Macaca fascicularis: one gene and its partners. The protein of the gene in region 1 purifies or fractionates together with the protein of each later gene. This does not show direct contact. Links are inferred from orthologs where the notes say so. Each region holds a gene or a part of one and is shown in the gene's direction. Other genes may lie near its edges. The genes, in order: SOX2, SUPT16H, DNAJA2, DNAJB6, BAG2, XRCC1 and ILF2.

Region 1 (4,105 bases):
ATCTCATCCTCCTCTAACCCGGGCATTGCTGGGCTCCCCCTTCCCCAGTCCCGGCCGCCTTCTCCCAGTGTGCGCTGCCTGCACCTGTGCCTGGAGAGCATCGACCCCGCCTCCCAAGACTTGAGCCCCTTTGCGGCGCAGCCCCAGCCTTGCGCGGCCTGGGCTTTGCAGCCACCACAGTGGAAATCGACGGGGGAAATGCCAGGGCTGGTTCTGCTCGAGTCCTGGGAACTCTGCGTGGGAGGGAGTTTGTGACTGCGGCCCAAAAGCCACCTCCGTACAGTGCCGTGGGATGCCAGGAAGTTGAAATCACCCTCCCCCATCGCCTGCACTTTTGAGCGCCCTTCCGTCTGTCTCTTTCCCCAGCCCCCATTTGAAACCCGCACGACCGAAACCCTTCTTTCAGGGAGGCATGGGATGGGAATGGGGAGTGGGGGGAGACAGTAGGAGCATCCCCTTTGCTACGGTTGAATGAAGACAGTCTAGTGGGAGATGTGGCTGGGGCTAAGAGGAAGAGCTGCAGTTTCCTGGGCCAAAGAGCTGAGTTGGACAGGGAGATGGCAGCTTACCAAGGCCTGCCGGTTCTCAGCTCTAGAGTCGGCCTCATGGTCCGAGCAGGATTTATTTTTAAGAACAGAGCAACGTTACGTGGAAGCAAGGAAGGTTTTGAGGACAGAGGTTTGGGTCTCCTAACTGCTAGTCGGGACTGTGAGAAGGGAGTGAGAGTGTTGGCACCTGTAAGGTAAGAGGGGAGAGCGGAAGAGCGCGGTACGGGAGCGGCACCAGAGGGGCTGGAGTTGGGGGGGGGAGTGCTGTGGATGAGCAGGAGAACAATGACACACCAACTCCTGCACTGGCTGTTTCCAGAAATACGAGTTGGACAGCCGCCCTGAGCCACCCACTGTGCCCTGCCCCACCCCCGCACCTTAGCTGCTTCCCGCGTCCCATCCTCATTTCAGTACCCTGCACCAAAAAGTAAATCAATATTAAGTTTAAAGAAAAAAAAAAACCCCACGTAGTCTTAGTGCTGTTTACCCACTTCCTTCGAAAAGGCGTGTGGTGTGACCTGTTGCTGCGAGAGGGGATACAAAGGTTTCTCAGTGGCTGGCAGGCTGGCTCTGGGAGCCTCCTCCCCCTCCTCGCCTGCCCCTTCCTCCCCCGGCCTCCCCCGCGCGGCCGGCGGCGCGGGAGGCCCCGCCCCCTTTCATGCAAAACCCGGCAGCGAGGCTGGGCTCGAGTGGAGGAGCCGCCGCGCGCTGATTGGTCGCTAGAAACCCATTTATTCCCTGACAGCCCCCGTCACATGGATGGTTGTCTATTAACTTGTTCAAAAAAGTATCAGGAGTTGTCAAGGCAGAGAAGAGAGTGTTTGCAAAAGGGGGAAAGTAGTTTGCTGCCTCTTTAAGACTAGGACTGAGAGAAAGAAGAGGAGAGAGAAAGAAAGGGAGAGAAGTTTGAGCCCCAGGCTTAAGCCTTTCCAAAAAATAATAATAACAATCATCGGCGGCGGCAGGATCGGCCGGAGGAGGAGGGAAGCTCTTTTTTGATCCTGATTCCAGTTTGCCTCTCTCTTTTTTTCCCCCAAATTATTCTTCGCCTGATTTTCCTCGCGGAGCCCTGCGCTCCCGACACCCCCGCCCGCCTCCCCTCCTCCTCTCCCCCCGCCCGCGGGCCCCCAAAGTCCCGGCCGGGCCGAGGGTCGGCGGCCGCCGGCGGGCCGGGCCCGCGCACAGCGCCCGCATGTACAACATGATGGAGACGGAGCTGAAGCCGCCGGGCCCGCAGCAAACTTCGGGGGGCGGCGGCGGCGGCGGCAACTCTACTGCGGCGGCGGCGGGTGGCAACCAGAAGAACAGTCCGGACCGCGTTAAGCGGCCCATGAATGCCTTCATGGTGTGGTCCCGCGGGCAGCGGCGCAAAATGGCCCAGGAGAACCCCAAGATGCACAACTCGGAGATCAGCAAGCGCCTCGGAGCAGAGTGGAAACTTTTGTCGGAGACGGAGAAGCGGCCCTTCATCGACGAGGCTAAGCGGCTGCGAGCGCTGCACATGAAGGAGCACCCGGATTATAAATACCGGCCCCGGCGGAAAACCAAGACGCTCATGAAGAAGGATAAGTACACGCTGCCCGGCGGGCTGCTGGCCCCCGGCGGCAACAGCATGGCGAGCGGGGTCGGGGTGGGCGCCGGCCTGGGCGCGGGCGTGAACCAGCGCATGGACAGTTACGCGCATATGAACGGCTGGAGCAACGGCAGCTACAGCATGATGCAGGACCAGCTGGGCTACCCTCAGCACCCGGGCCTCAACGCGCACGGCGCAGCGCAGATGCAGCCCATGCACCGCTACGACGTGAGCGCACTGCAGTACAACTCCATGACCAGCTCGCAGACCTACATGAACGGCTCGCCCACCTACAGCATGTCCTACTCGCAGCAGGGCACCCCTGGCATGGCTCTTGGTTCCATGGGTTCGGTGGTCAAGTCCGAGGCCAGCTCCAGCCCCCCTGTGGTTACCTCTTCCTCCCACTCCAGGGCGCCCTGCCAGGCCGGGGACCTCCGGGACATGATCAGCATGTATCTCCCCGGCGCCGAGGTGCCGGAACCCGCCGCCCCCAGCAGACTGCACATGTCCCAGCACTACCAGAGCGGCCCGGTGCCCGGCACGGCCATTAACGGCACACTGCCCCTCTCGCACATGTGAGGGCAGGACAGCGAACTGGAGGGGGGAGAAATTTTCAAAGATAAACGAGGGAAATGGGAGGGCTGTAAAAGAGGAGAGTAAGAAACAGCATGGAGAAAACCCGGTACGCTCAAAAAGAAAATGGAAAAAAAATCCCATCACCCACAGCAAATGACAGCTGCAAAAGAGAACACCAATCCCATCCACACTCACGCAAAAACCGCGATGCCGACAAGAAAACTTTTATGAGAGAGATCCTGGACTTCTTTTTGGGGGACTATTTTTGTACAGAGAAAACCAGGGGAGGGTGGGGAGGGCGGGGGAATGGACCTTGTATAGATCTGGAGGAAAGAAAGCTACGAAAAACTTTTTAAAAGTTCTAGTGGTACGGTAGGAGCTTTGCAGGAAGTTTGCAAAAGTCTTTACCAATAATATTTAGAGCTAGTCTCCAAGTGACGAAAAAAATGTTTTAATATTTGCAAGCAACTTTTGTACAGTATTTATCGAGATAAACATGGCAATCAAAATGTCCATTGTTTATAAGCTGAGAATTTGCCAATATTTTTCAAGGAGAGGCTTCTTGCTGAATTTTGATTCTGCAGCTGAAATTTAGGAAAGTTGCAAACGTGGAAAGAAGAAAATTATTCAGATTTGGACATTTTAATTGTTTAAAAATTGTACAAAAGGAAAAAATTAGAATAAGTACTGGCGAACCATCTCTGTGGTCTTGTTTAAAAGGGCAAAAGTTTTAGATTGTACTAAATTTTATAACTCAACTGTTAAAAGCAAAAATGGCCATGCAGGTTGACATCGTTGGTAATTTATAATAGCTTTTGTTCAATCCCAACTTTCCATTTTGTTCAGATAAAAAAAAGAACATGAAATTACTGTGTTTGAAATATTTTCTTATGGTTTGTAATATTTCTGTAAATTTATTGTGATATTTTAAGGTTTTTCCCCCTTTATTTTCCGTAGTTGTATTTTAAAAGATTCGGCTCTGTATTATTTGAATCAGTCTGCCGAGAATCCATGTATATATTTGAACTAATATCATCCTTATAACAGGTACATTTTCAACTTAAGTTTTTACTCCATTATGCACAGTTTGAGATAAATAAATTTTTGAAATATGGACACTGAAATTATTCTTGAGTCTTTCATTTATTTGGATAACACTGTGATTATACATAACTTCTCGGGGAACTATAATACTGTGCTCAGCCAAGAAAGCAAAATACCAAAAACCTTGGTATTACTAGTCCAGCATCATGTGCTAATGTTAACTGCAAAAAAAAAAAAAAAAAAAAAAAAAAAGACTGGATGATTAATAAGTACTGGAAAAACTGAAATTTCTGTCATTTCTAAAATAGAAACTAGAGACATATATTGTAAATCCGCCCCCTCCTTTTCTAAGCAGCATGAATAA
Region 2 (3,500 bases), on another chromosome or scaffold:
TTGGGAGGCTGAGGCAGGATTGCTTGAACCTGGGAGTTCGAGGTTGCAGTGAGCTGTGATCACACCACTGTGCTCTGCCCTGGGTAGTAGAGCAAGACCTTGTCTCTTTAAAAATAAAAAGTAGGTGGGGATGGGAGGAGAATTTATTTTTTCCATAGTTTAGAATATTCCTCTACCTGTTATTGGTAAAACATACATGTCTAATTAACAGACCCCTTTTCTTCCCTGTGACACTAACAGAATGAAAGTAATAAGAGTAGCTTTGACAAAATGATTGAAGCCATTAAAGAAAGCAAGAATGGAAAGAAGATTGGAGTGTTCAGCAAAGACAAATTCCCTGGAGAGTTCATGAAGAGCTGGAATGACTGCCTCAACAAAGAAGGCTTTGACAAAGTAAGATACTACTGGAAAGTAGCAAATCAAGAGTTGAGAAGACAGAAATGTGATGGGCTTCCATAACAGATAGTGCAGGACGTTTGTTTTGGGAAACCTGTATGTTTGTTCACATTTTATCCCCTTTGAGCAGTGTGCCAGTTTTACTTTTCAGCCAGTAGATGGGACTTTCAGGAGATAGTCCAGCCACTTTAGAGTTGGAAACAAAATTTCTTTCCCTGCCTTTCTTCCATCTGCCTTTACAAAAACATCTAGAGAGGGCAGTTTACATTTTAAGTAGTACATTAGTTTAACACCTCTTGTACTACACACAGTGACCTGGCAAAGAGCTATTTCAAATGTTTAATTCAGTTCAAGAAGAGAATATTTGAATATTCTACAAACCAGTGATAAATCATTTGCTAAGTAACAGAAATATCACTGATAATATTCAAATTGGAGAGATGCATTATTTTGTAATTCTATATTTGCATATTAGAAACTCTTGTCACTTTGACTGCAGATAGATATCAGTGCAGTTGTGGCATATACCATCGCTGTAAAGGAGGATGGGGAGCTCAACCTAATGAAGAAAGCAGCCAGCATCACTTCTGAAGTCTTCAACAAATTCTTCAAGGAAAGAGTCATGGAAATAGTTGATGCAGATGAGGTAAATGGAGATGAGAGGGTCTTTTTAGTGTTTTAATGAAGCAGTAATAAGTCTATCATGCAAATCTGTTGATGTGTTCTTCCACTTCCTTTGAAATTAAGACTGACACTTAAGTTGGTGGTAATTACGTCATCTCTTTTTCAAAATAATGGTAAGCCTGCATTATGTTTTCTTGAGGTAACCCATTATTTTACTTGAGAATCCTAGGAATAGCTGTAGGTCCTACATACTGTTCTCCAAAATGTGTTTTGCCTGCATACCAATATATTGCCTGGTGCATAAACCATTTCGTAAGACCTTTTTTATATCATCCTTATACAAGGATATATTTTGTCTTCAAATCATAGTGTCCACACACCCCGCTTTGCTACCCTCTAGTAAGTGTTACTTTATTTCTGGATGCTCTTACAGAAAGTTCGACACAGCAAACTGGCTGAGTCTGTGGAAAAGGCCATTGAAGAGAAAAAATACCTTGCTGGGGCAGACCCTTCTACTGTGGAAATGTGTTACCCTCCTATCATTCAGAGTGGTGGCAACTATAATCTCAAGTTCAGTGTGGTGAGGTAAGTATATGAAGACTTCATAATATAGCGCTTTGACTTTAGCCTATTTTTTCTTCTTTTAAAATCTGTACAAATTTGTGGGGTACATTGAAATTTGGCTACAAGTACATAATGTATAGTGTCACCAAGTCATTTTCTTGGGTGTCCATCACGCAGGTGCAGTACATTTTTGTTAAGTAGAGTCACCCTACTCTGCTGTCAAACATTGAATTTATTCCTTCTATCTTACCTTATGTTTGTACCTTGTAATCCATTTCTTTTCATCCTCGCCTGCCCCCCCACACACTTACCCTTTCCAGTCTCTGTTATCTATATTTAAGACTAACTACAACTCACAATTCATAGAGGACTGATGGATAAGTGACTCCTCACAACCCCACAATTAGACTATAATGGATACAATTCAGTATATCTTTTGCATTTTTATAATCCAGTACTCACTTTCTCACTGAATTTTTATCCTAAAAGTTTTGGTCACTGACGTTTACTCTAGAGCCTTTATTAAACTGGTTTGTTTATTTAAAACACAAAAAAAGTTTAGGTCCTTATTCAGCCACAGCTTTAGGATATGGCAGGGAAAAGTAATGATTATTGATACCGTGTCCCATTGATACCAAAGACTTCGCTAGTTTTGGTAATGAAATGTTTTCTTTCTTTCTTGGTCTCTAGTGACAAGAATCATATGCATTTTGGGGCCATCACTTGTGCCATGGGTATTCGCTTCAAGTCTTACTGCTCCAACCTTGTTCGCACTTTGATGGTTGATCCTTCTCAGGAAGTTCAAGAAAATTACAACTTTTTACTCCAGCTTCAAGAGGAGCTGCTGAAGGAATTAAGACATGGTGAGGTGCCTTAGAAAAGGAGGTTTAGAAGTTACGTCACAAAAATGTCATTGGCCAGGAGCTGTGGCTCACACCTGTAATCGCAACATTGGGAGGCCGAGGCAGGAGGATTGCTTGAATCCAGGAGTCCGAGACCATCCTGGGCAACACAATGAGGCCCCCATCTCTTTTTTTTTTTTTTTTTTTTTTTTTTTTTTGAGACGGAGTCTCGCTCTGTCTCCCAGGCTGGAGCGCAGTGGCCGGATCTCAGCTCACTGCAAGCTCCGCCTCCCGGGTTCCCGCCATTCTCCTGCCTCAGCCTCCCGAGTAGCTGGGATTACAGGCGCCGCCACCTCGCCCGGCTAGTTTTTTGTATTTTTTAGTAGAGACGGGGTTTCACTGTGTTAGCCAGGATGGTCTCGAACTCCTGACCTCGTGATCCGCCCGTCTCGGCCTCCCAAAGTGCTGGGATTACAGGCTTGAGCCACCGCGCCCGGCCGAGGCCCCCACCTCTATAAGAAATTAAAAATGAAAAAATTAGTTGGGCATAGTGGTGCACACCTGTGGTCCCAGCTACTCAGGAGACTGAGGTTGGGGAGGATCACTTGAGCCTAAGTGGTCAAGGCTGCGGTGAGTTGTGACTATACCTCGGCAGTGAGCCATGTTTGCGCCACTGCACTTCAGCCTGGGCAATAGAGTTGAGACCTTGTCTCAAAAAAGAAATGTCATTAGTGTTATGTTTATGTCTCTGAGGCTGTCATATTAAAAACAGAATAAGATTTAGCAATGTTGAATCATCCTAGCATGTAGGTCTTGAATCTGCATTTTTTTCAGGTATGAGTGATCATTGTGGTTTACATTGATGTTTATAGAAACCTCTCTGACTTGTTAGGCCCTCTATGTCCAGATCTTCACAAAATACCTTGGCCTTATTACTATTCCTTAGTTATAGAAAGTTCTGAGAACTAGTATCTCTACCAACAGGATATATAATGTTAATCCTACATCAAAACAATACGAAGGATACTGAGCTTCCAGACACCATTCTTCCACATTATCTCTAAGTCGGTCTTA
Region 3 (4,089 bases), on another chromosome or scaffold:
CACCAGTGTCCAGTCAAGGAAGACTTCACAGAGGGAGCAGGATTTCAGATGGGATTTGAGGAAAAGGGTTTAAGGACTATCAATGACTTATCACTGATTACTCTTAGGGTTTTCGGGCTAAATTTCAGAGACCTTGTCATGGCATTCAGGCCCTCCACAACTAGGTCAAGGGGAACGCCAAGGAAGAAACATTATCCTGAGTAAGATGCTTATACTGAAGTCTTTGCTATCAGTTCAGGTTCCAAGGGATCATAAAATCTTACTTTTCTGTCTCCGTAAACCGTAAATGGGTTGAAGGCAGGCACTTTTGTAACACTCCTCTCTCCGGACCAGGCCTCTGTACATCATAGCACGTGGTAGATGCACAGCATTCACTTTCTGAGCGAAACTAAAACGAATGTAAATCAAGTCACCTGGTGGCCAGAGTTGCCTTACACCATCTAAACCTCTGGTATTAGCTAATTTTAAAGCTATCAAGAGGCTTAAACACGTGGTCCAGAAGCAACACGTGGACCTTGGTTTGGACTGGAATGCCACAAACCAATTGTAAAAGGCCATGCGATCATTTGAAAAACCTAAATATAGACTGGGAATTAGATTAAGGAATTGTTAATTTCATTAGATGAGATTACGTCGTCATGCTTTTAAAAGTTGTCTTAAATATATACACTCAGGGTATTTATGAATGAAACGGTTTCCCTGAAAACACCAGAGATGTATAGGGGAGCGAATGAAACAAAATTGGTAAAATGTAGCTAACTGCACTACGGGGTGTAATAGACTGCTTTTGTTGAATGTTTCATTATTCCCATAACATAAAACACAACATACACACACACACGCTCCCCAGTTTTTTTCATCGTAAGCCCCGAGGGAGCCAGACCCAGAGGGTCCACCGACGTCCTGGATTCTGAGAACGATTTCTGCGCGCCAGGCTGGCCTCCTGCAGGAGCCGGGGCCCACTTCCTTTCCCGACCGACTCGAAGCTAACGAAGCTGCCGCGTAGGCCTGTTAATCCCCTCAGTACCCAGTGCGAGGTTAAACACGCGACGTCGCAACCATGGCCTTTGAGAGGAAGCTGAATTCCTGGGGTGCGCCGTGTAGAGTTCATTTCCTACGTCGGCCCAGCACAGCAGCCTGGACCCAGAGGAGATCAGAGAACCAGCCACACTCTTCACCACCCCGACCCAGTGGCCGCGCCTCGGGCGCTCGGGGGCGGGCTCCGCACTGCGACGTCACGGCGCACCGTGCGCCCGGTCAAAGTTCAGCCCCGCCCCCGCTTCCCCCTCGCTGTCTCCCTCGGCCTGATCCGCTGCCGACGCCGCTTGTGGGCCCGGCTCCTCTGTCTGCTCCGCCACCTTCTTCCTGAGCACTGCCCGGCCGGCCGCCATGGCTAACGTGGCTGACACGAAGCTGTACGACATCCTGGGCGTCCCGCCCGGCGCCAGCGAGAACGAGCTGAAGAAGGTATCCGGGAGCGGGCCGGGCGGGCGGGTGTGAGGGGCGCGGGGCCTGCGCGGCCGGGGATGTCTTCTTCAGCCAGGCCGCGCTACTGGGCGGCCCGCGAGCCGGCGCCGGCCGTGACGGGCCCGGGCTGGGGATCGGCGGCGGCAGCGGCGGGACCGGCCTCGCGGCGAGCCGCGCCCTCCGGCCTCGGCTGACCTTGGGCCGCCGGCCCCGCCCGCCCGCAGATGCAGCAAATAAAACTCACTCCTGCGCAAACACGACGGTAGCCCTTCCTCCCTCCTCGGGCGAGCGCCGGTGGCCGGTCTCCCCCAGGAGGCAGCAGCTCGCCCGGCTCTCCGCGTCGAGGTCACCACCCCGGAAAAACAGGTTGGACCGAGGTGCTCAGCGCATCCCGGCCCCGGGAGAGAAGCTGTCCACCCCGCGGCCGTCGGCCCCGGGTCTGGTGCTCCGCGGGGAAAAACGGCGGGGAGGTCCGGCGGGGAGGTCGAGGCCGCCCCCACAGAGCGCCTCGGGCAGATGGGGTTGTTTCCTGGGATCCCCGGCTGCGGGCTGCGGGAGCTCCTCCCTCTCTTCCTCCCTCGCCCATTGACCCGGAGGTAGCGTGGGTCTGTGTTTGGATGCATTGTTCTGTGGTCAGGTAATGCTAATGTCCTGTACCTGCTTAGGAATAAGCCGTGGTCCCAGCCAAACGCCTGAGTGTGCAATAAACATGAATAGAAGGCCTTATTATCGCTGTTTGCAATGCTGCGATATCTTTCATCTCAGGATTTCAAAGCACACGAGGCGTTTAAGCCCCACAGCATCCTCACCGGGCTAAGAGCATCCGGATTTGTAAGCCGAGAAAAATGAGAATGCTCCTTAGGCAGTGAGAAGAGTGCAGTGGACTTCCTGTTACCTTACCGGAAATGCTAGTCTGTATTATATAATTCACGAGCCTCCGTAAATGAAGATTTAAGTGCTGTATGACCCAAACACCTCGTTGAGAGTGTGCAACTTCACTACCACCGAAGTTGCCACCACGACCCCAGTTAACCACCACGTGCAAATAAAACACCTAAAGACACTACCTGGGACCACCTTGACTTTTTCATGATGTTACAGTTAGAAGGAAGGCCTGAGCCATCGGGAGCAGGAATTGTGACTTTAGCTTGATTTATAGTAATGTTTTGCAGTCCGTAAAGCTTGACAGTCATTTATCTCAAATTTATTAGAGTGGTCTTGGTCTGGTTACTTGGCCATCAGACACTTGACGATAGGGAAAATATGGATAATGTTTGAACGTTTTCCCTATGGTATTGCTTCATTGTTTTATCTGGTTTTCACGTCACTGTAATTATTTTCAAGTATAGCTACAGTCTACTTGGTTATATTACATTAGTAAACAGTATCGTGAGGAAGTGCCAAAGAATACGAATAGAAAATATTTTTGGAAGGTTATAACTCTAGAACATTACTTTTCAGAAAAGTGGATGTTAAGTTATTACAAAACTTTAAACTGGTGTTTAGTTATAACCTTCTTTGTTTTTGTCCATTTTCAAAGGCATACAGAAAGTTAGCCAAGGAATATCATCCTGATAAGAATCCAAATGCAGGAGACAAAGTAAGTTATTTGCGATTTTTTTATTCCGGGGGTTTTAGTTTTAACTTAAATTGCCCTCCTTGAAAAAAAGGAATGTTGCAGGAAAAAAATCCAACTATGCCCACACAGCCACATTTTCATAATGTCAAAGAGTATTTTAGTTTTAGAATAAGAGTACTACCATTCTGAGGAGTGGTGGGTGGTAAATAGAAGCAGAATCAAGTCAAAGGTAACTTGTCCCTTTTATTAGAATTAAATGGATTCTGGATTCCTATAGCCTCTCCCCACTCTTCTATTTGAAAATGTAATTATTTTTATTTTTACCTTTTCTTTATAGTTTAAAGAAATAAGTTTTGCATATGAAGTACTATCAAATCCTGAGAAGCGTGAGTTATATGACAGATACGGAGAGCAAGGTCTTCGGGAAGGCAGCGGCGGAGGTGGTGGCATGGATGATATTTTCTCTCACATTTTTGGTGGGGGATTGTTCGGCTTCATGGGCAATCAGAGTCGAAGTCGAAATGGCAGAAGAAGAGGAGAGGACATGATGCATCCACTCAAGTGAATATCTTGTTTTGTTGTGTTAAAAAATTAGGTACTTTTTGTCAAGTGGAATATTGACTCAGTAGAAGAAAAAAAACTCATAGAATGTTCTGTCCTTCATTAGAAAAACTTCCATGTGCCTTGTCTTCTTTTGGTGACTAAATAGAATTTGATTATCTGACTGTTTCTATTTTGCTGTAGCTCTTAAAAGGATGGTAGATATTTTTTAATGAGAGGAAGGTGGTTTTATATGGTTCTGAGGCTGCTTGTTATTATAGGACTTAAAATTTCAAGTGTAAAGATCGTTTTCTTTTTTCTTTTCTTTCTTTTTTTGAGACTGAGTTTCGCTTTTGTTGCCCATGCTGGAGTGCAATGGCACAATCTCAGCTCACTGCAACCTCCGCCTCCTGGGTTCAAGCGATTCTCCTGTCTTCAGCCTCCCGAGTAGCTGGAATTACAGATGTGGCACCATGCCCAGCTAATTTTGTATTTTTAGTAGA
Region 4 (4,246 bases), on another chromosome or scaffold:
AAGCATTGTTCAGAAGGTGGCTGAGCAGGCCCCCGGAATTCAGCGTCAGCATGCCACAGGATCTGAAGTTCAGGAAAGGTGTGACAAAAAGGAATTTTTCTTTTTCTTTTTTTTTTTTTGAGAGAGTTTCGCTCTTGTTGCCCAGGCTGGAGTGCAATGGCATGATCTCGGCTCACTGCAACCGCCTCCTCCTGGGTTCAAGCGATTCTTTTGCCTCAGCCTCCGAAGTAGATGGGATTACAGGAATGCGCCACCACGCCTGGCTAACTTTTTTTTTGCATTTTTAGTAGAGACGAGGTTTCTCCTTGTGTCAGGCTGGTCTTGAACTCCCAACCTCAGGTAACCCACCTGCCTTGGCCTCCCAAAGTGTTGGGATTACAGGCGTGAGCCACCACACCAGGTTGGCATTTTTATTTCTTAAAGGAAAGGATAAGGTGGGCTACGAAGACAACACAGTAGCAAACATCTGGCTGAGTGCTGGAGACAAGACAGTGGGAGATCCAGGCCAGGCTCCATGCACGGAACTGCTTGTTGACCTCTTTAGGCTTTGGATCTACAGGACCTTTCGTTACTGGGAATGAAAGCCTGTCTGACTGCGCGGGGTCTGAGGTTCCCTGCTCCCGCTAGTCACCATCTGCACGCGTGTGGTATTAATCTCCAGGGTTAGAACCAGAACCCCTGCGGACGCGGGAAAGCCTCGCGAGTCTGGGGATGACCTCAAGTCCAGCGATCAAAGTGCGGCCCGTTTTCAGGAAACAACTGCCACGATTCAATCTAAAAAGCTTCTTCGGTATTTTCGGCCACAGTTTGCTTCCATTTCCTTCCATCATTATTCCCTGGCGAAGTCTCCACGCACTCCCGTTCGCCGGGGAACTTCGGGTATCAGGCCTTCCCTAAATTGACGAGCGGGGGCCGGTGCCTTCGCTTGCCTTCCCTGGCCGCCGCTTGATTTCTTTTTCCTCCCCTTCGAGGGCTTCTCCGCCCGCGCCCGCGCCCCAGCTTTCGTCCCGCTGTGGGGAGATGCCACCCAGCTCCACGGGAGGACCGGGGGGCGAGAGGCGGCGGACGCGCTCCGGAGGCCGCCGGCCGAAGATGAAGGGCGCGACGACATCGCGGTTTCCAGAATGGGCTCCTTCTCGCCCAGAACAATCAGTGCCGTTTGGAATCTTCTCGGCCTTCTCTGCGCCGTCCGCGCCTCTGGGCTTCCCGGTACCGTGGACCCGGCCCCGAGCTCCGCCCTCTCGCCCTGGGCTTCCCCTCCCCTCCCCTTCGCCCCCAGTCTCCCGGCCTCTTCGGGGCGGCGGAAGAGCCGAGAACCTTCGCGAAGGCGGGGCGGGCGCCTCTGAGGCTGGGCCCGCGTTTTGGGCAGTGGAAACTGCACATGCGCGGCGTCAGGGCCGGGCGGAAGTTAACGTCGCTGTGCCGCCGCCGCGTGACGCATTTCCTGTTTGTTGTCGGAGAAAGGAGAGAAAGGAAAGCGCGAGGAGACGCCGCCACCACCAGCGCAGCAGTGCAGGAGCTGTGAGGAGATTCGGGCAGTCACCCCGCCTCCCCTGCGTCCCGCCACCAGCCGCCTCCGTCCTCGGTGAGAGTCTGTTTCGAGGGCCGGGGGAGGTCGCCTAGGGCCCTGCGCGCGCCCGGCAGACGGCGGACCTAACCCGGCTCCTGGCAACAGCGTGGGGGGTGACCGGGGTCGCCGGTCGGGGCAGTACTGGAAGGGGCGGGGGCCGTGGCCGGGGTTGCGGGGCGAAAGGTGGGCGGCGTCCTCTGGGTCTGGGGCCGAGGCCCGGGCCGGGGCTGGGGGCTGGGGCCGCCCGGCCGCGTCCTCCCCGCCCGGCGTCCTTGCCGGAACGCGGCCCGGCCTCCGCGGCGGCGGTTGGGGGTGGGGCCCGGCCTGGGAGCGGCCGGCTGGGGCTCGGCTGGGGCTCGGCGGGGCCGGCAGCGTGGGAGGCGTGGAGCGCCTTCTTTCTAAGGCTCCTTCCCTCGAGTCTGAAACCAGAAACGCGAGTGGCTTGCGGAGCGGGAATGCCGCTGCCGTGCCGCCAAGTTCGGAGGGAGAAGAAGCAGGTGGTGGACCGCAGAGCCCTGTTTCTAGAACTCCGGACGGATTGTTGAGAAGTTTGTGGAAGAGCAGGCTGCGTTTCTTATTCAGAACGTCTGTCTGCTTTGCTTTGCGTTAAAGAATCTGCACCGTAGTTGATGCAACTGAAGTTTATGTAACAAGTTTATATTAACTCTTACCCAACTGAGGAAGGTCAGTGACACACGAAGTATAAACTGCAAACCGTATGTTGGCTCGAGAAAGGTTTTGGCGCTAGCGCATTTTTTTAAAAGGATGGGTTTTCTAGTCAGACGTAAACTTCTGTACTAATTTTCTCACGTAAACGAGGCAGGAAGTAGCCCGAGTAGAACGATCGTGCCACCACCGAAGGGATGCCGCCTGCGAGCTCAGAGGCTTCAGCCTGTTTGGGAAGAGTAGGCTGAGCGGAGCTCTTTGTAATTTTTAACGTTTTTGTTAATATGAGTTGCGAATTTAGTAAGGATTTGTGGCTACAAGTTAAGCCAAATTATTGATTTAGTAGAAAAGTTAAGACTAAAGACCGAAGAAAGGAAAGTAAACAGACTTTAACTACTAAATCTTGGTTGCTGCTGCTTCGTGTTTAACCGCACTTTTCCAAATAATGTTGCATATCAGAACGATTCATGGTTTCTGAAAGGAATTATATGCATCCACCTTACTACTCCGCCTGTCCATCCGTCATGTTTTCTTTTTGGGTTTACTCCAAACTTTTTTTTTTTTTTTTGAGACGAAGTCTGTTCTGTTGCCCAGGCCAGGGTGCAGTGGCGCGATCTCCACTCAGTGCAACCTCCAGCTCCCAGGTTTAAACGATTCTCCTGCTTCAGCCTCCTGAGTAGCTGGGATTACGGCTGCTCGCCACCACGCCCGACTAATTTTTGTATTTTTAGTAGAGACGGGGTTTCACCGTGTCGGCCAGGCTTGTCTCGAACTTCTGACCTAAAGTGATCCGCCTGCCTCGGCCTCCCAAAGTGCTGGGATTACAGGCGTGAGCCACCGCGCCCGGCCGACTGCAGACTTGTTTCCACTTCTGAGAGCCTTAAGCTCCTTTGAAGTTGGTTCTTTCACATTTCTTTCTGCCTTCTGTGATAAAGGGGTGAATATTTTTTATGCACACTTTAATGAGCTGTGGGTGTTTATGGATTATTCTGGATGTGAAATTTGGGAAGTAAGTTGCCTTAAATTGGTAGATGTGGAGACTTGACAGGAAGTGGGAGAACAAAAGGATTGAGAACCTTTGAAAAATGCCTAACTAGGCTTAGTCTGTACTGTGGAACATGAGAAAGTTGGGAATTTCAGAGGGCAAGGCTCTTGAAGAATTTGAGATGAGTTCAACACTCTCTTCAAAACATCAGTGTTTTAAAACTTATTTTCTTCTGGATATGAAAGTGTTAGGTTTGGGAAGTAATTCTGGCTGTAGGACAGTTTTTCCGGAACACTAGGTGGTGAGTATTGTTGAATATTGTAAAGACTGAAATAAGGGTATGGTATTACAGTGTGATACCTGTAACTAAGTGGCATACATTAGCTTTCATTTTTAAGCAAGTCTGTAATTCCTTCTATTAACTGATTTGGACAGTTTCAAACGAATAGTGGTACCCATCACCTTCATCAGTTTTCCACCTAGGTAACCCAAATCCAGGTCTGAGGTGGGGGTGGGATGGTATGTTTGAACTTTTTTTTTTTTTTTTTTTGAGACGGAGTGTTGCTCTGTTGCCCAGGCTGTAATGCAGTGGCGCGATCTCTGCAAGTTCACGCCATTCTCCTGTCCCAGCCTTCCGAGTAGATGGGATTACAGGCGCCCGCCCCCATACCCGGCTGATTTTTTTGTAGTTTTTAGTAGAGATGGGGTTTCACCATGTTAGCCGGGATGGTCTTGATCTCCTGACCTCATGATCCACCCGACTCGGCCTCCCAAAGTGCTGGGATTACAGGCGTGAGCCACCGCGGCTGGCCCTTTTTTTTATTTTTTATTTTTGTTTTTTTAAGATGGAGTTTCACTGTTGCCCGTGATGGAGTACAATGGCGCCATCTTGGCTCACTGCAACTTCGCCTCCCAGGTTCAAGCGAATCTCCTGCCTCAGCCTCCGGAGTAGCTGGGATTACAGGCATGCGCCACCACACCCAGCTAATTTTTTTGTGTTTTTATTAGAGATGGGGGTTTCACCA
Region 5 (3,950 bases), on another chromosome or scaffold:
TATTATTATCTATCATTTTCTGTGCCGTGTACATTAACATCCTTGCAGTGAGAGGCATAGAGCTATCAGGAGAGGGGACCAAAACCTAACTTTTTAAGTAGACTAATCTTTGTATCCTCAGCTCTATTCCATCTTTTACCGACAGCTGGTGCCTGACCTAGAGGCCTACTGCATCTTTTTGTTAACATTAAAAGTTGGCCTGGCGCGGTGGCTCAAGCCTGTAATCCCAGCACTTTGGGAGGCCGAGACGGGTGGATCACGAGGTCAGGAGATCGAGACCATCCTGGCTAACACGGTGAAACCCCGTCTCTACTAAAAAATACAAAAAACTACCCGGGCGTGGTGGCGGGTGCCTGTAGTCCCAGCTACTTGTGAGGCTGAGGCAGGAGAATGGCGTGAACCCGGGAGGCGGAGCTTGCAGTGAGCTGAGATCCGGCCACTGCACTCCAGCCTGGGCCACAGAGCGAGACTCGGTCTCAAAAAAAAAAAAAAAAAAAAAAAATTAAAAGTTGAGGACTTCTTAATGCCAATTATTTCACTCAGAATATTTATTTATTTATTTAGACAAGGTATCGTTCTGTTGCCCAGGCTGGAGTGCAGTGGCGAGATCTCGGCTCACTCAACAGGAATAATTTTAATAGCAAAAATTAAAAACTCCTTCATTAAGCCGGGCGTGGTGGTTCACACCTGTAATCCTTAGAATGATAAAAATGAAGTAAATTCACTTTGTTTCCTACATCTACCTAGATAGGGAAAGATGGAGTAGCTTTTTCTTTTTTACTTAATAGCTTCAGCGTTGTCCGGGCATTCGTTACTCTCATCTTAGTATAAAGTGGTAACAGGAAGGTCAGGTGAGTGTGGGCTGCCTAGGAGCTGCACTTAACTGCCTTCTGTTTCACAAAAGGACCTTTTCTCCCTATATCACAGGACCCTTAATGTCGTTGTTCTTGCTTTGAATTATGGGTGCTGGAAGAAACTAAACGAAGCCATCACTGAGCAATACACCCACAACCCATCGACCGATAGGAACCTTCGTGTGGGGGAAGTTGGTTACTTTTAGGCTGCACGAAGAGGCGGGGCCACGCGGGGCGGAGCTGGGGGTGGTCTGTGGGTCCGGGCGGGCTTCGGGTAGTTCCTGGGTCCGAGGAGCAGACGATCCGCTGGCCACATTAGGCGCTCAGTCTCTGCGTCTGCCCCTCCCCGTGCCTCAGAGACTTGCGCTCCCCAGGCCCGAGCCCCTATCGGCCCATCCTCGAGCCCCTGTGGCCCGCGAACCTCTTAATTCCAGCCGCTGCAGCCCCCTCCCAGGCCCGGCGTCCCCGAGCCCCGCGGGCGCCGCGCCTGCCCTTCTTTGGCCACGCGGCAGCCGCGGTGTCGGCGAGTCCTCCCGGGTTGCCCCCGCGGGCGTCAGAGGGAGGGCGGGCGCCCGCGTGGTGACGGCGACGCCTGCAGCCCGAGGAGCGCTCCACTCGCCGCCGCCGGAGGGGCCGGTGACCTCTCGGCTGCCCCGCGTCGGAGGCTTAGATGGCTCAGGCGAAGATCAACGCTAAAGCCAACGAGGGGCGCTTCTGCCGCTCCTCCTCCATGGCCGACCGCTCCAGCCGCCTGCTGGAGAGCCTGGACCAGCTGGAGCTCAGGTGAGCCGCGGGCGGGCGGGCGGTCTCGGGCGTTCTGCTCGCCGCGCGGGCGGTTAGCGGACGGAGGCCGCGTGTGGCGGGCCGGGCCCTGGGGCACAGTGAGGCTGCGGCAACAGAAGTTGCTTGTTGAGATTTGTTGTGGATGGACGTGGTGTAGTTTTGTTTATTTCTTGGATTTTCTCCCCTTGTCCAAGAGAAAACGCATTGTAAGCTAAACCTGTGAGGGCGTGATGGTGGCCACACTTTGATTAACTTACCTAGGTGTTGGGGAGCAGGAAAAAGAGGAGATAAAAGTTAAGAGGTGAGATTCCATGCGATTAACGACTGTGGCAGCGTGGGTCTGCAGAGCTTCTAGAACCTTCTGTGTGGCCCCAAATGTTTTTAACTTACTCTTCTCCCGTCATACATTTTTAAGGGAGGCAGCAGTTTACAGTGGCCCTCCACGTGAAGTTAAGTTTCCTTGCTTCAGAACACTTAAAAGAGCAAAAATGAATAAAACAAAACCAACCCAGCAATCCATTGAGACCAAAGATTAGAGAGGAGTGAGGGGTAGGCAGTAAGTTACCGGGTGCTTCGTGCAGTAAAGACGTTGCGGCTTCTCTTTATCCCCTGACCTGGCGGACGGGATTCCGCGGTTCCGTTTGTCTCTCAGTATTTATTGGGCACCTCCCTACATAGAAGACGAAGTGTTAGTCACTGGCCTGAAAGTATGAAAAGATAGTTTTCCCTTTTTCTTGCTTAAGATTTTATTAGGTAATATAGTAGTAGACTTGTACAGAATTTCTAAACAATATAATGTTAATAGATTTTTGGAAAGACTTTAACGGTATATTGAAAAGTTTTATCTACTTCCTGTGAACGTTTGTCTCAAGTTACTGTGTAAATTTTGTGAGCAACTGTAGTTAAAAGAAAACCTTGTTAGGCACCTGGAATTCCCTGAAACTGTACACAGGAGTTGGTTCCATAGTTTTCTCTAGGTTGTGCATGAGCAAAGAAGCATGTGAGCCAAAAAGTTCAGGAAACACTGCATGTGTGTTTTATCTCCCTCCATTAATACACCCAAATATGAAGTGTCCGTTTGCCGAGAAAATACTTCAAAACCACGGCATCTCTTTTAACAAGTAAGGCATTATTATTGTTACTATTGGGAGAAAAGAGCCAGAGAGTGAGAGATTCTCCGCTCAAAATAATTTCTTGGATGGCAGCAGAGAAACCTAAGCCCTACACGAGGTTCTGGGGTTCCACTCAGAATGAGGCAAGTGGAAGAGAGAAATAATGCTTCCTCATGGATTTTCACAATACTAGCAAACCTGACCCGTTCCACTCCCAGAAAAAGTAAAGCGCAAGTAGAAATTGGTGGCCTCAGTTACTGGAAGTCCCTCTAACTGATGTTTCTTTTTAGGGAGCCGCATAACAAGTAACACACCTCTCTCCATGTCTTCAGAACGTTGAGGGCATGTTCTCAACCACTTCACTCGCTCTCCCCTAGTTAGAAAGAAAAGATTTTTTCCTAAAGGAATGGGTAGGATGTTACTCCACCCCGCCTTCCTTCAAGCTGAGTCATTGTCCTCAAACTTGAATTAATGCCTCACATGTGGTAGGTACAAAAGCCCTCTGAAGTGCTCCTCTTAAAAAGAAAGCCTCAGGTTTTGAATATTATTATATTCTAATGTTTGATTAATGTAAAATGAATTCTGATTACTGCACATCAGTGATTAAATTACAACTTGCTTAATTAACATTTGAGCTGAGGAGAAAAGTGATTAATATGTGGCTGTTCATTTCAAGGACTTTTTTTAGTAATTCTAGACTTTTGTAGGCCTTTTTTTTCTTTTTAAAAAAGTAATACTAGCTGAAAAGGAAGGATTTCCTAAGGTAAGCAAAAATAGAGAAAAATGCTAACATTGATCCTATTAAAGTGTTTTTTTGAAACCACATGGGCAATGGCATAGAACACTACACTATTAAAAACTAGAATCATGCGTACAAGATCGATTTTTAAATGAAAACATGAAACTCATATGTAATTTTGCTCTAATAGTTTGATTTTATGTTAACTAATAAAGTAGTGTAACTGGGTAGAATAAAACCTTACCGTTTGTACTTAGAAGTGTGCACGTAATGTTCCCTAACCACATCATCCTGTCAATTGTGGAAGAAATTTCATACTTCATGACCTGGAGTATGAACTGATCTACATGATTAAAATGTTTGGCAGCAGTTCTACAAACTGTTAAAGGATTTCCATTTATCTCTAATGGAATTTATCAGTACACTAGCCCTTTTTTTAGACTGCATTTTGTCTTCTGTATT
Region 6 (3,933 bases), on another chromosome or scaffold:
CATGTGCTTGGCTCACACTCCTTGTATGTTTGGGCTGTCTCCAGCTGCGACCCCACCCTGGGCTGCACCCTTGGCTCTCCAAGGGACCGAATGAACAGAGGGGATGCCTGTCAGCAGCCATAGGCGGGCGTAGTAAAAGACAGATGCCCACAGTCTACATATTGGGAAACTGAGGCTTTTTTGGACAAACTCCAGGATAGGGGTGTGTGTATGGGGGGGTGGGGGTTGGGCACATACTTTGCGTTATATTTAGGACGCTGAACCCTTCTCTTTTGGCCTCAGGCATAAGGCTGAGACAGATCTGATATTTTTTTTTTCGCGCGCGCGCGTGTGTGTATGTGTATGTGTGTGTGTGGGGGTGGGGTGGGGCAGGGGGACAGAGTGAAGAGTGCAGCCTCCTGAGCCGTTTGAGGACATCCTGTTGCGTAGAATCCAGGTTTCCTAGGAAACTACGAAAATTCACTCAGATTTGCTGTCCTAGCCCAGTGCGGTGGCTCACGCCTGTAGTTCCAGCACTTTGAGAGGCCGAGGCAGGTGGATCGCTTGAGCTCAGGAGTTCGAGACCAGTCTGGGCAAGATAGCAAGACCCGCCGCCCCCTCACCCCGTGTTTCCACAAAAAATACAAAAATCAGCCGAATGTGGTGGCGAGTGCCTGTAATCCCAGCTACTTAGGAGGCTGAAGTGGGGGGATCCCTTGGCCCCAGGAGACAGAGGTTGCAGAAAGCCGAGATCCTGCCACTGCACTCCATCCTGGGTGAGAGAGCAAGACCCTGTCTCAACAAAAAATTTTAAAAAATAATAAAATAAATAATAATAATACAGCAAAAAGATTTGCTTTCTAGGCTCCAGTGTGAGCGGTGACTGCATCGTCCAATGAGAATGGCGAATTTCTTCTAGACACCAATCCCGGAGGTCGCTTCTGTTGCTAGGCGCCTAGAAAGCAAGGTGCGGACGTCATCGGGAGGCGGGGCTAGAGCGGGGGTGTGTGGCAGAGGGAGGCGGGGCTGGAGGAAACGCTCGTTGCTAAGGAACGCAGCGCTCTTCCCGCTGTGGAGAGGCGCGACTGGGCTTGCGCAGTGTCGACGCCAGCGCGGGCGCGCCGGGGTTTGAAAGGCCCAAGCCTCGCGCGCTTGCGCACTTCAGCCCGCGCAGGGCGCACCCCACCCCCTCCCACCCTCCGTGCCTCTCGGACCCCAGACCCTACCTCATCCTTCTGGCCAGGCGAAGCCCACGACGTTGACATGCCGGAGATCCGCCTCCGCCATGTCGTGTCCTGCAGCAGCCAGGACTCGGTGAGGGACCTGCATGGGGGAGGTTGGAAGACGTGAGGGAATTAATGAGGACAACTCTTAAAAGAACTCTTGGGGTTCTTCTTGGAAGTCTAAGGAGAGTCATGGGGGGATTTCCAGGAGACTAAAAGTGAATTGTGGAGAGATGTTGAATTAGGGACGTTCCGGCGTCTAGGGAACGAACTTCCGGAGAGAAAAGGAGGAATAAGGAAAGCTTTCTTGGAGAGCCCATAGGTGAACTTCCACGGGAAAGTGTTGTAAGGGAAACTCCAGGCAGAGTGTGGGGGGATTAACGGGAGAGCTTAAGTCTGGAGGATCGTAGAGGCCTTGGGAGGACTCGAAGGAATCAACTGAGAGCTGGAGGCCTAGCTGTCATTTCTGTGCTCTAATTCTCCTCTCCCACTGTTGTTTCCAGACCCACTGTGCAGAAAATCTTCTCAAGGCAGACACTTACCGAAAATGGCGGGCAGCCAAGGCAGGCGAGAAGACCATCTCTGTGGTTCTACAGGTGATCCTGCCACCCCACCTCCTCCTCACTAGGAGTCTGGAGTCCGGGGTACCAGATTCTGCTCCTGAACCAACTGGCAATGGGTTGAGTCACTTTCTTTGCTGGGCCTCAGCTTCCTTACTTGGAAAATGGGCGGCATAATCCCTGTGCCCCTCAGCAGAGAGCAAAGGAGACCCAAGGATGAGGTCCAGGATGACCATAGGAATCAGTGTGTGGTCCTGGGCTGGTGGCTTCTACTTTCTGGGTTTCACTTTCCTCAGCTGGAACAAAATGAATCATTGCCATGTACCCTGCCTCCTGCAGCCAGTGGGCTCGGGGCTGGAAGGTGTCCAGGAAGGTCATCTAAGCCAATCAACTCCACTTTAAAGAAGGGGAAACTGGCTGGATGCTGTGGCTCATGCCTGTAATCCCAGCACTTTCAGAGGCTGAGATGGGAGGATTGCTTGAGCTCAGGAGTTCCAGACCAGCCTGGGCAACATATCAAGACCCTGTCTCTATTTTTATTAAAATAAATACTTTTTTTTTTTTTTTTTTTAAAGAATAATAGGCCAGGTGTGGTGGTTCACACCTGTAATCCCAGCACTTTGGGAGGCCGAAGCTGGAGGATCGCATGAGCCCAGGAGTTTGAGACCAGCCTGGGCAATATAGTGAGATGTCATCTCTACCAAAATTTTATAAATTAGCTGAGCATGGTGGTGTGCACCTGTAATCCCAGCTACTGGGGAGTCTGAGGTGAGAGAATTGCTTGAGCCCAGGAGATGGAGGCAGTAGTGAGCTGAGATTGCGCCACTGCACTCCAGCCTGGGCACCACAGCGAGACCCCCAAAATATAAAAAATAAAAGAATAGTAATGAGAGCTAACATTATTCAACATTACCTGCCAGGCACTGCTCTACACACCTCACTCACATAGATTAGCTCATTGAGTCCTCATAAACCCCAAGAGGCAAGCTCTGTTATCCCCACTTTTACAGATGAGGAAACTGAGGCCCAAATAAGTTATACAACTTGCCTGACAGTCAGTCTTTTATTTATCTATTGAGACAGAGTCTCACTCTGTTCCCAGGCTATAGTGCAGTGGCATGATCTTGGCTTGGTTCACTGCAGCCTCTACCTCCTGGGCTCAAGCGATCCTCCTGCCTCAGCCTCCTGAGTAGCTGGTACTGCAGGTGTGCACCAACATGCCTGGCTAGTTTTTTTTTTTTTTTTTTTTTTAGAGACAGGGTTTCTACCATGTTTCCAGGCTGGTCTCAAACTCCTGGACTCAAGCAGTTCTCCTGCTTCAGCCTCCCAAAGTGCTGGGATGACAGGTGTGAGCCATCGTTCCTGGCCTGGGGGCTGGTTTATGACTATAAGGAGCAGAACACCCTCTGGATAGTGCTAGGGTGAAGGAAAAATTAACCTTTTGAGAATGGGCAGTCATTCAGCAAATATCCACTCCTCTCCCTCCCGCTGGAGGGGGAGTATATTTCCCTGCTCCACTGATGGGTTTGACCATATGATTTACTTAATGGAATTTCAGCACATCTAACTTCAGCAAGGGCCTTAAATGCACTTGGGTTTTGTGCTCCCATGATCTGCCATGAGAACATTTGTCAGGTTACTGCTAATCCCAGAAAACTGAAATCTCATGGAAGAGACCTGAATCCTTCCAAACTGCAGCCAAAGCAGCCATCCCATGAACTCTTAGAAGAATGCTTGTTGGTGTAAGTCTCAGTTTTCATGTTGGGAGGTTGAGGTGGGTGGATCGCTTGAACCCAGGAGTTTGAGTCCAGCCTGGGTAACATGGGGAAACCCTATCTCTACAAAAAAATACGAGAAATAGCTGGGCGTGGTGGTGCATGCCTGTAGTCCCAGCTACTAGGGAGGCTGAGTGGGGAGGATCAATTGAGCCCATAAGGTTGAGGCTGCAGTGAACTGTGATGGTTTCACTGCACTCCAGCCTGGGAGACAGAGTGAGACTCTGTCTCAAAAAAAAAAAAAAAAAAGTCTCAGTTTTAGGATGATTTGTTACACAGCATTATTACAGTGTAAGTTAATACAACTTTGTGGTTTCAAACCACTGAGATTAGGGACTCCTTTGTTACTGTAACATCATCTAGTCCATCCCAATTGATGTCAATGTTTAGCACCTG
Region 7 (3,319 bases), on another chromosome or scaffold:
CTCTTGCCTGCTTCTAGTGATTTTTAGACAAGTGATTTGCTGATATGAGAAACACGGGGTGGCTTAAAGAATTGCAAAGTTGGTTAGGCGCAGTGGCTCATGCCTGTAATCCCAGCACTTTGGGAGGCTGAGGCAGGCAGATCACCTGAGGTCAGGAGTTGGAGACCATCCTGGCCAACATGGTGAAACCCCGTCTCTACTAAAATACAAAAATTAGTGGGGCATGAGTAGCTGTAATCCCAGCTACTCAGGAGGCTGAGGCAGGAGAATCACTTGAACCCCGGAGGCGGAGGTTGCAGTGAGCTGAGATCGCGCCACTGCACTCCAGCCTAGACTGTAGCAGTGGTAATGAGTAGCTTGTTTAATGAAAATGTTTCATCCTGGCCTATCATGCTTGTCTTTTTAGTGGATATCAAGGTATTGCAGAGTGCCTTAGCAGCCATCCGACATGCCCGCTGGTTCGAGGAAAATGCTTCTCAGTCCACGTGAGTCCCTCCCTGACCATTTGGATTAAGATAAACTTTTTAATTTCAGTGAATAGCAGGATACCCCCATACTTCCTCTGACAGAACTATTTTGCCTGTGACTTTTTTTCTGGATTTTTATTTTTACCTTAAGCAAGTTAAGATTTAGAGAAAGCAGAGAGCGTATAGTTCTGTAAACAGCATAGTCAGCTTCAATTCTACCTTAGGCGTGGAAATACATGATGGTATTGATTTTAATGTTTGGGTCACTATTACTTTCAGAGTTAAAGTTCTCATCAGACTACTGAAGGACTTGAGGATTCGTTTTCCTGGCTTTGAGCCCCTCACACCCTGGATCCTTGACCTACTAGTAAGTAAAGATGGACAATTGGAGTTCCTCCTCATCCTTATTTACTAGTAGTAGTAGTAACTCTGAAATTCACCAGAGTCTGAAATTTGGTGAAGCTTAAAAGAAATTTTATTGGTAGACAAGTAATCCAATAAAAATTCAACATTTACATGACTCAGAGACATTTGTTTAAAAAAAAAGAAAAAATTAAAAGTTTTTTTTTTTTTTTGGTATATTCAATTAAATGAGTAGTTACTGAGTTATAGTGTCCTGTTTTCTTCTCATGACTGCTACCATTTCATCATGGCAGTAGAGAGAAATGAGTGAGCAGCCATTTCAGAATTGCTTCTGAACAACATGAAAATTTTGGCTAGGCTTAGACCTTAATAACCAGTTTTCCTCATGATGATTTAAGGTTTTAGTTTGATGCCTGTAATCCCAGCACTTTGGGAGGCTGAGGCCAGAGGATCACTTGAAGCCAGGAGTTTGAGACCAGCCTGGGCAAAATAGTGAGACTGTCTCTACCAGGAAAAAAAAAAAAAATATATATATATATATCCAGTTGTAGTGGCTTGTACTTACAGTCCTAGCTTCTCAGGAGGCTGAGGCAGGAGGGTTGCTTGAGCCCAGGAGTTTGAGGTTACAGTGAACTATGATTGTGCCACTGCACTCCAGCCTGGGTGACAAAGTGAGGCTACAGTTCTAGTTATCAGAATTGCCATTTTGATGGCACACCTACTGGATTTATTATTTTCCAGGGCCATTATGCTGTGATGAACAACCCCACCAGACAGCCTTTGGCCCTAAACGTTGCATACAGGTACAGCATGCTTCTTTGGGTTTAGGGTTGGTTTTAAGCTATTTTGTGCATTCTTTTAATACCTCATACTTCCCTGTGTTCTAGACGCTGCTTGCAGATTCTGGCTGCAGGACTGTTCCTGCCAGGTTCAGTGGGTATCACTGACCCCTGTGAGAGTGGCAACTTCAGAGTACACACAGTCATGACCCTAGAACAGCAGGTATTGGGACAGATACGAACTGAGTTGTTTTGCCCCATTCTTGAATACTCCTAGTCAGCTGGCGAAGTGGAATATGGTCTTTAGGGGTCAGGAATTGGGGGATTCTGAAATACTTTGTTCCTGAGATTTAAAAAATTGTCTTAATCTCTGTTTTCACAAGGGTATTACTCAAAGTCTTTTGATTTTCCTTGCTAACTTACTCTCACTTTGCTCTCCTTCAGGACATGGTCTGTTACACAGCTCAGACTCTCGTCCGAATCCTCTCACATGGTGGCTTTAGGAAGATCCTTGGCCAGGAGGGTGATGCCAGCTGTGAGTGACTACTGTGGGTCGGGGTTTTGTATTGTAATCTGGTCTACAAAGAAGCTGTACACTATTTAAATGTCTTTAATATTTCCACAGTGTAAATAATGTCTTTTATGCTGGGCTACTTGTCTAAATCACCTTTTTCTCTTTCCTAGATCTTGCTTCTGAAATATCTACCTGGGATGGAGTGATAGTAACACCTTCAGAAAAGGCTTATGAGAAGCCACCAGAGAAGAAGGAAGGAGAGGAAGAAGAGGAGAATACAGAAGAACCACCTCAAGGAGAGGAAGAAGAAAGCATGGAAACTCAGGAGTGATGTTCCCTTCACTCCTTTTCCTACCCAAGGGGGAAGACTGGAGCCTAAGCTCCCCGCTACTGGGCTTTACATGGTGGCAGACATTTCCGTGGGATAGGGAAGATAGCAGGAAGAAAAGTAAACTCCACAGAAGTGTCATTCCACTGGGTTTTGATATTGGCTTTGCTGCCAGTCTCCCATTTGTGACCTATGCCATCCATCTATAATGAAGGAGGATACCAACATTTCTTCCTAATATTCTAGAATCCCCAACTCCTGAAAACCCCTCTCTCAATTAATACTTTGCTGTTGAAATGTTGTGAAATGTTAAGTGTCTGGAATTTTTTTTTTTCTAAGAAAAACTATTAAAGTACTTCCTAGTAGGGCTCTTGGCCTTTTGGTTGGTTTTTTGGGTTTGTTTTTTTGCATGTGGCAACCTTTTTTGCTTCTTTTTGCTTTGTATACTCTTGCGTTGAAAATAGTATTTGAGTCTTTTAATTATAAATACTCAGATCACAATTTGAAGCTGTCTTTGAATTAAAGTACAAACTCCTAGAACCTTTCCATATACCAGAGTAAACTAGAATACCGTTTTAAGTATTTATTGAATAAAATGATTCTATCAATACTGCTACTGTATTGAAGCCAGTGCAATAAAAAACTGGGTGGACAGAGGTCATTCACTTTGACTTTGCCTGCCCTCTCCAAATCCCCAGTGTAAACAGGAAAATGAGAAGTCACAGGTAGAGGACATGCTGCCCAGGCCCATGTAACTAGGCATGTAACAAAGGAAGCCCCTCTGGTTAACTAGGCCTGAAGAAGGTAAGCCTCAAGTATGCAGGTTAAAAAAAAGTAGAGGCCTCTGCTCATTTGTGAAAGGAAGCAA

The links.
Region 2: the proteins of SOX2 (region 1) and SUPT16H purify together in Homo sapiens (affinity purification with mass spectrometry; 3 studies listed by BioGRID and IntAct, with this or other methods). This does not show direct contact. The link is inferred for Macaca fascicularis from reciprocal best matches to the Homo sapiens genes SOX2 and SUPT16H.
Region 3: the proteins of SOX2 (region 1) and DNAJA2 purify together in Homo sapiens (affinity purification with mass spectrometry; 3 studies listed by BioGRID and IntAct, with this or other methods). This does not show direct contact. The link is inferred for Macaca fascicularis from reciprocal best matches to the Homo sapiens genes SOX2 and DNAJA2.
Region 4: the proteins of SOX2 (region 1) and DNAJB6 purify together in Homo sapiens (affinity purification with mass spectrometry; 3 studies listed by BioGRID and IntAct, with this or other methods). This does not show direct contact. The link is inferred for Macaca fascicularis from reciprocal best matches to the Homo sapiens genes SOX2 and DNAJB6.
Region 5: the proteins of SOX2 (region 1) and BAG2 purify together in Homo sapiens (affinity purification with mass spectrometry; 3 studies listed by BioGRID and IntAct, with this or other methods). This does not show direct contact. The link is inferred for Macaca fascicularis from reciprocal best matches to the Homo sapiens genes SOX2 and BAG2.
Region 6: the proteins of SOX2 (region 1) and XRCC1 purify together in Homo sapiens (affinity purification with mass spectrometry; 3 studies listed by BioGRID and IntAct, with this or other methods). This does not show direct contact. The link is inferred for Macaca fascicularis from reciprocal best matches to the Homo sapiens genes SOX2 and XRCC1.
Region 7: the proteins of SOX2 (region 1) and ILF2 purify together in Homo sapiens (affinity purification with mass spectrometry; 3 studies listed by BioGRID and IntAct, with this or other methods). This does not show direct contact. The link is inferred for Macaca fascicularis from reciprocal best matches to the Homo sapiens genes SOX2 and ILF2.

What each region holds. Positions count from the first base shown.
Region 1 is NC_088376.1:93,587,211-93,591,315, forward strand, and holds SOX2 (transcription factor SOX-2), read left to right. Parts: upstream 1-1,305; 5' UTR 1,306-1,740; coding exon 1,741-2,700; 3' UTR 2,701-3,821; downstream 3,822-4,105. UniProt on the Homo sapiens protein: Transcription factor that forms a trimeric complex with OCT4 on DNA and controls the expression of a number of genes involved in embryonic development such as YES1, FGF4, UTF1 and ZFP206. Binds to the proximal enhancer region of NANOG.
Region 2 is NC_088381.1:89,045,704-89,049,203, reverse strand, and holds part of SUPT16H (FACT complex subunit SPT16), read left to right. Parts: intron 1-240; coding exon 241-393; intron 394-895; coding exon 896-1,042; intron 1,043-1,453; coding exon 1,454-1,605; intron 1,606-2,274; coding exon 2,275-2,447; intron 2,448-3,500. UniProt on the Homo sapiens protein: Component of the FACT complex, a general chromatin factor that acts to reorganize nucleosomes. The FACT complex is involved in multiple processes that require DNA as a template such as mRNA elongation, DNA replication and DNA repair.
Region 3 is NC_088394.1:42,898,574-42,902,662, reverse strand, and holds the start of DNAJA2 (dnaJ homolog subfamily A member 2), read left to right. Parts: upstream 1-1,289; 5' UTR 1,290-1,389; coding exon 1,390-1,467; intron 1,468-3,007; coding exon 3,008-3,067; intron 3,068-3,383; coding exon 3,384-3,607; intron 3,608-4,089. UniProt on the Homo sapiens protein: Co-chaperone of Hsc70. Stimulates ATP hydrolysis and the folding of unfolded proteins mediated by HSPA1A/B (in vitro).
Region 4 is NC_088377.1:198,639,904-198,644,149, forward strand, and holds the start of DNAJB6 (dnaJ homolog subfamily B member 6), read left to right. Parts: upstream 1-1,446; 5' UTR 1,447-1,585; intron 1,586-4,246. UniProt on the Homo sapiens protein: Has a stimulatory effect on the ATPase activity of HSP70 in a dose-dependent and time-dependent manner and hence acts as a co-chaperone of HSP70. Plays an indispensable role in the organization of KRT8/KRT18 filaments.
Region 5 is NC_088378.1:114,546,289-114,550,238, reverse strand, and holds the start of BAG2 (BAG family molecular chaperone regulator 2), read left to right. Parts: upstream 1-1,150; 5' UTR 1,151-1,524; coding exon 1,525-1,637; intron 1,638-1,687; exon of another isoform or gene 1,688-3,234; intron 3,235-3,950. UniProt on the Homo sapiens protein: Co-chaperone for HSP70 and HSC70 chaperone proteins. Acts as a nucleotide-exchange factor (NEF) promoting the release of ADP from the HSP70 and HSC70 proteins thereby triggering client/substrate protein release.
Region 6 is NC_088393.1:51,608,826-51,612,758, reverse strand, and holds the start of XRCC1 (DNA repair protein XRCC1), read left to right. Parts: upstream 1-1,133; 5' UTR 1,134-1,242; coding exon 1,243-1,293; intron 1,294-1,705; coding exon 1,706-1,798; intron 1,799-3,933. UniProt on the Homo sapiens protein: Scaffold protein involved in DNA single-strand break repair by mediating the assembly of DNA break repair protein complexes. Negatively regulates ADP-ribosyltransferase activity of PARP1 during base-excision repair in order to prevent excessive PARP1 activity.
Region 7 is NC_088375.1:107,508,750-107,512,068, forward strand, and holds the end of ILF2 (interleukin enhancer-binding factor 2), read left to right. Parts: intron 1-406; coding exon 407-485; intron 486-746; coding exon 747-834; intron 835-1,571; coding exon 1,572-1,633; intron 1,634-1,717; coding exon 1,718-1,832; intron 1,833-2,053; coding exon 2,054-2,144; intron 2,145-2,293; coding exon 2,294-2,454; 3' UTR 2,455-2,819; downstream 2,820-3,319. UniProt on the Homo sapiens protein: Chromatin-interacting protein that forms a stable heterodimer with interleukin enhancer-binding factor 3/ILF3 and plays a role in several biological processes including transcription, innate immunity or cell growth.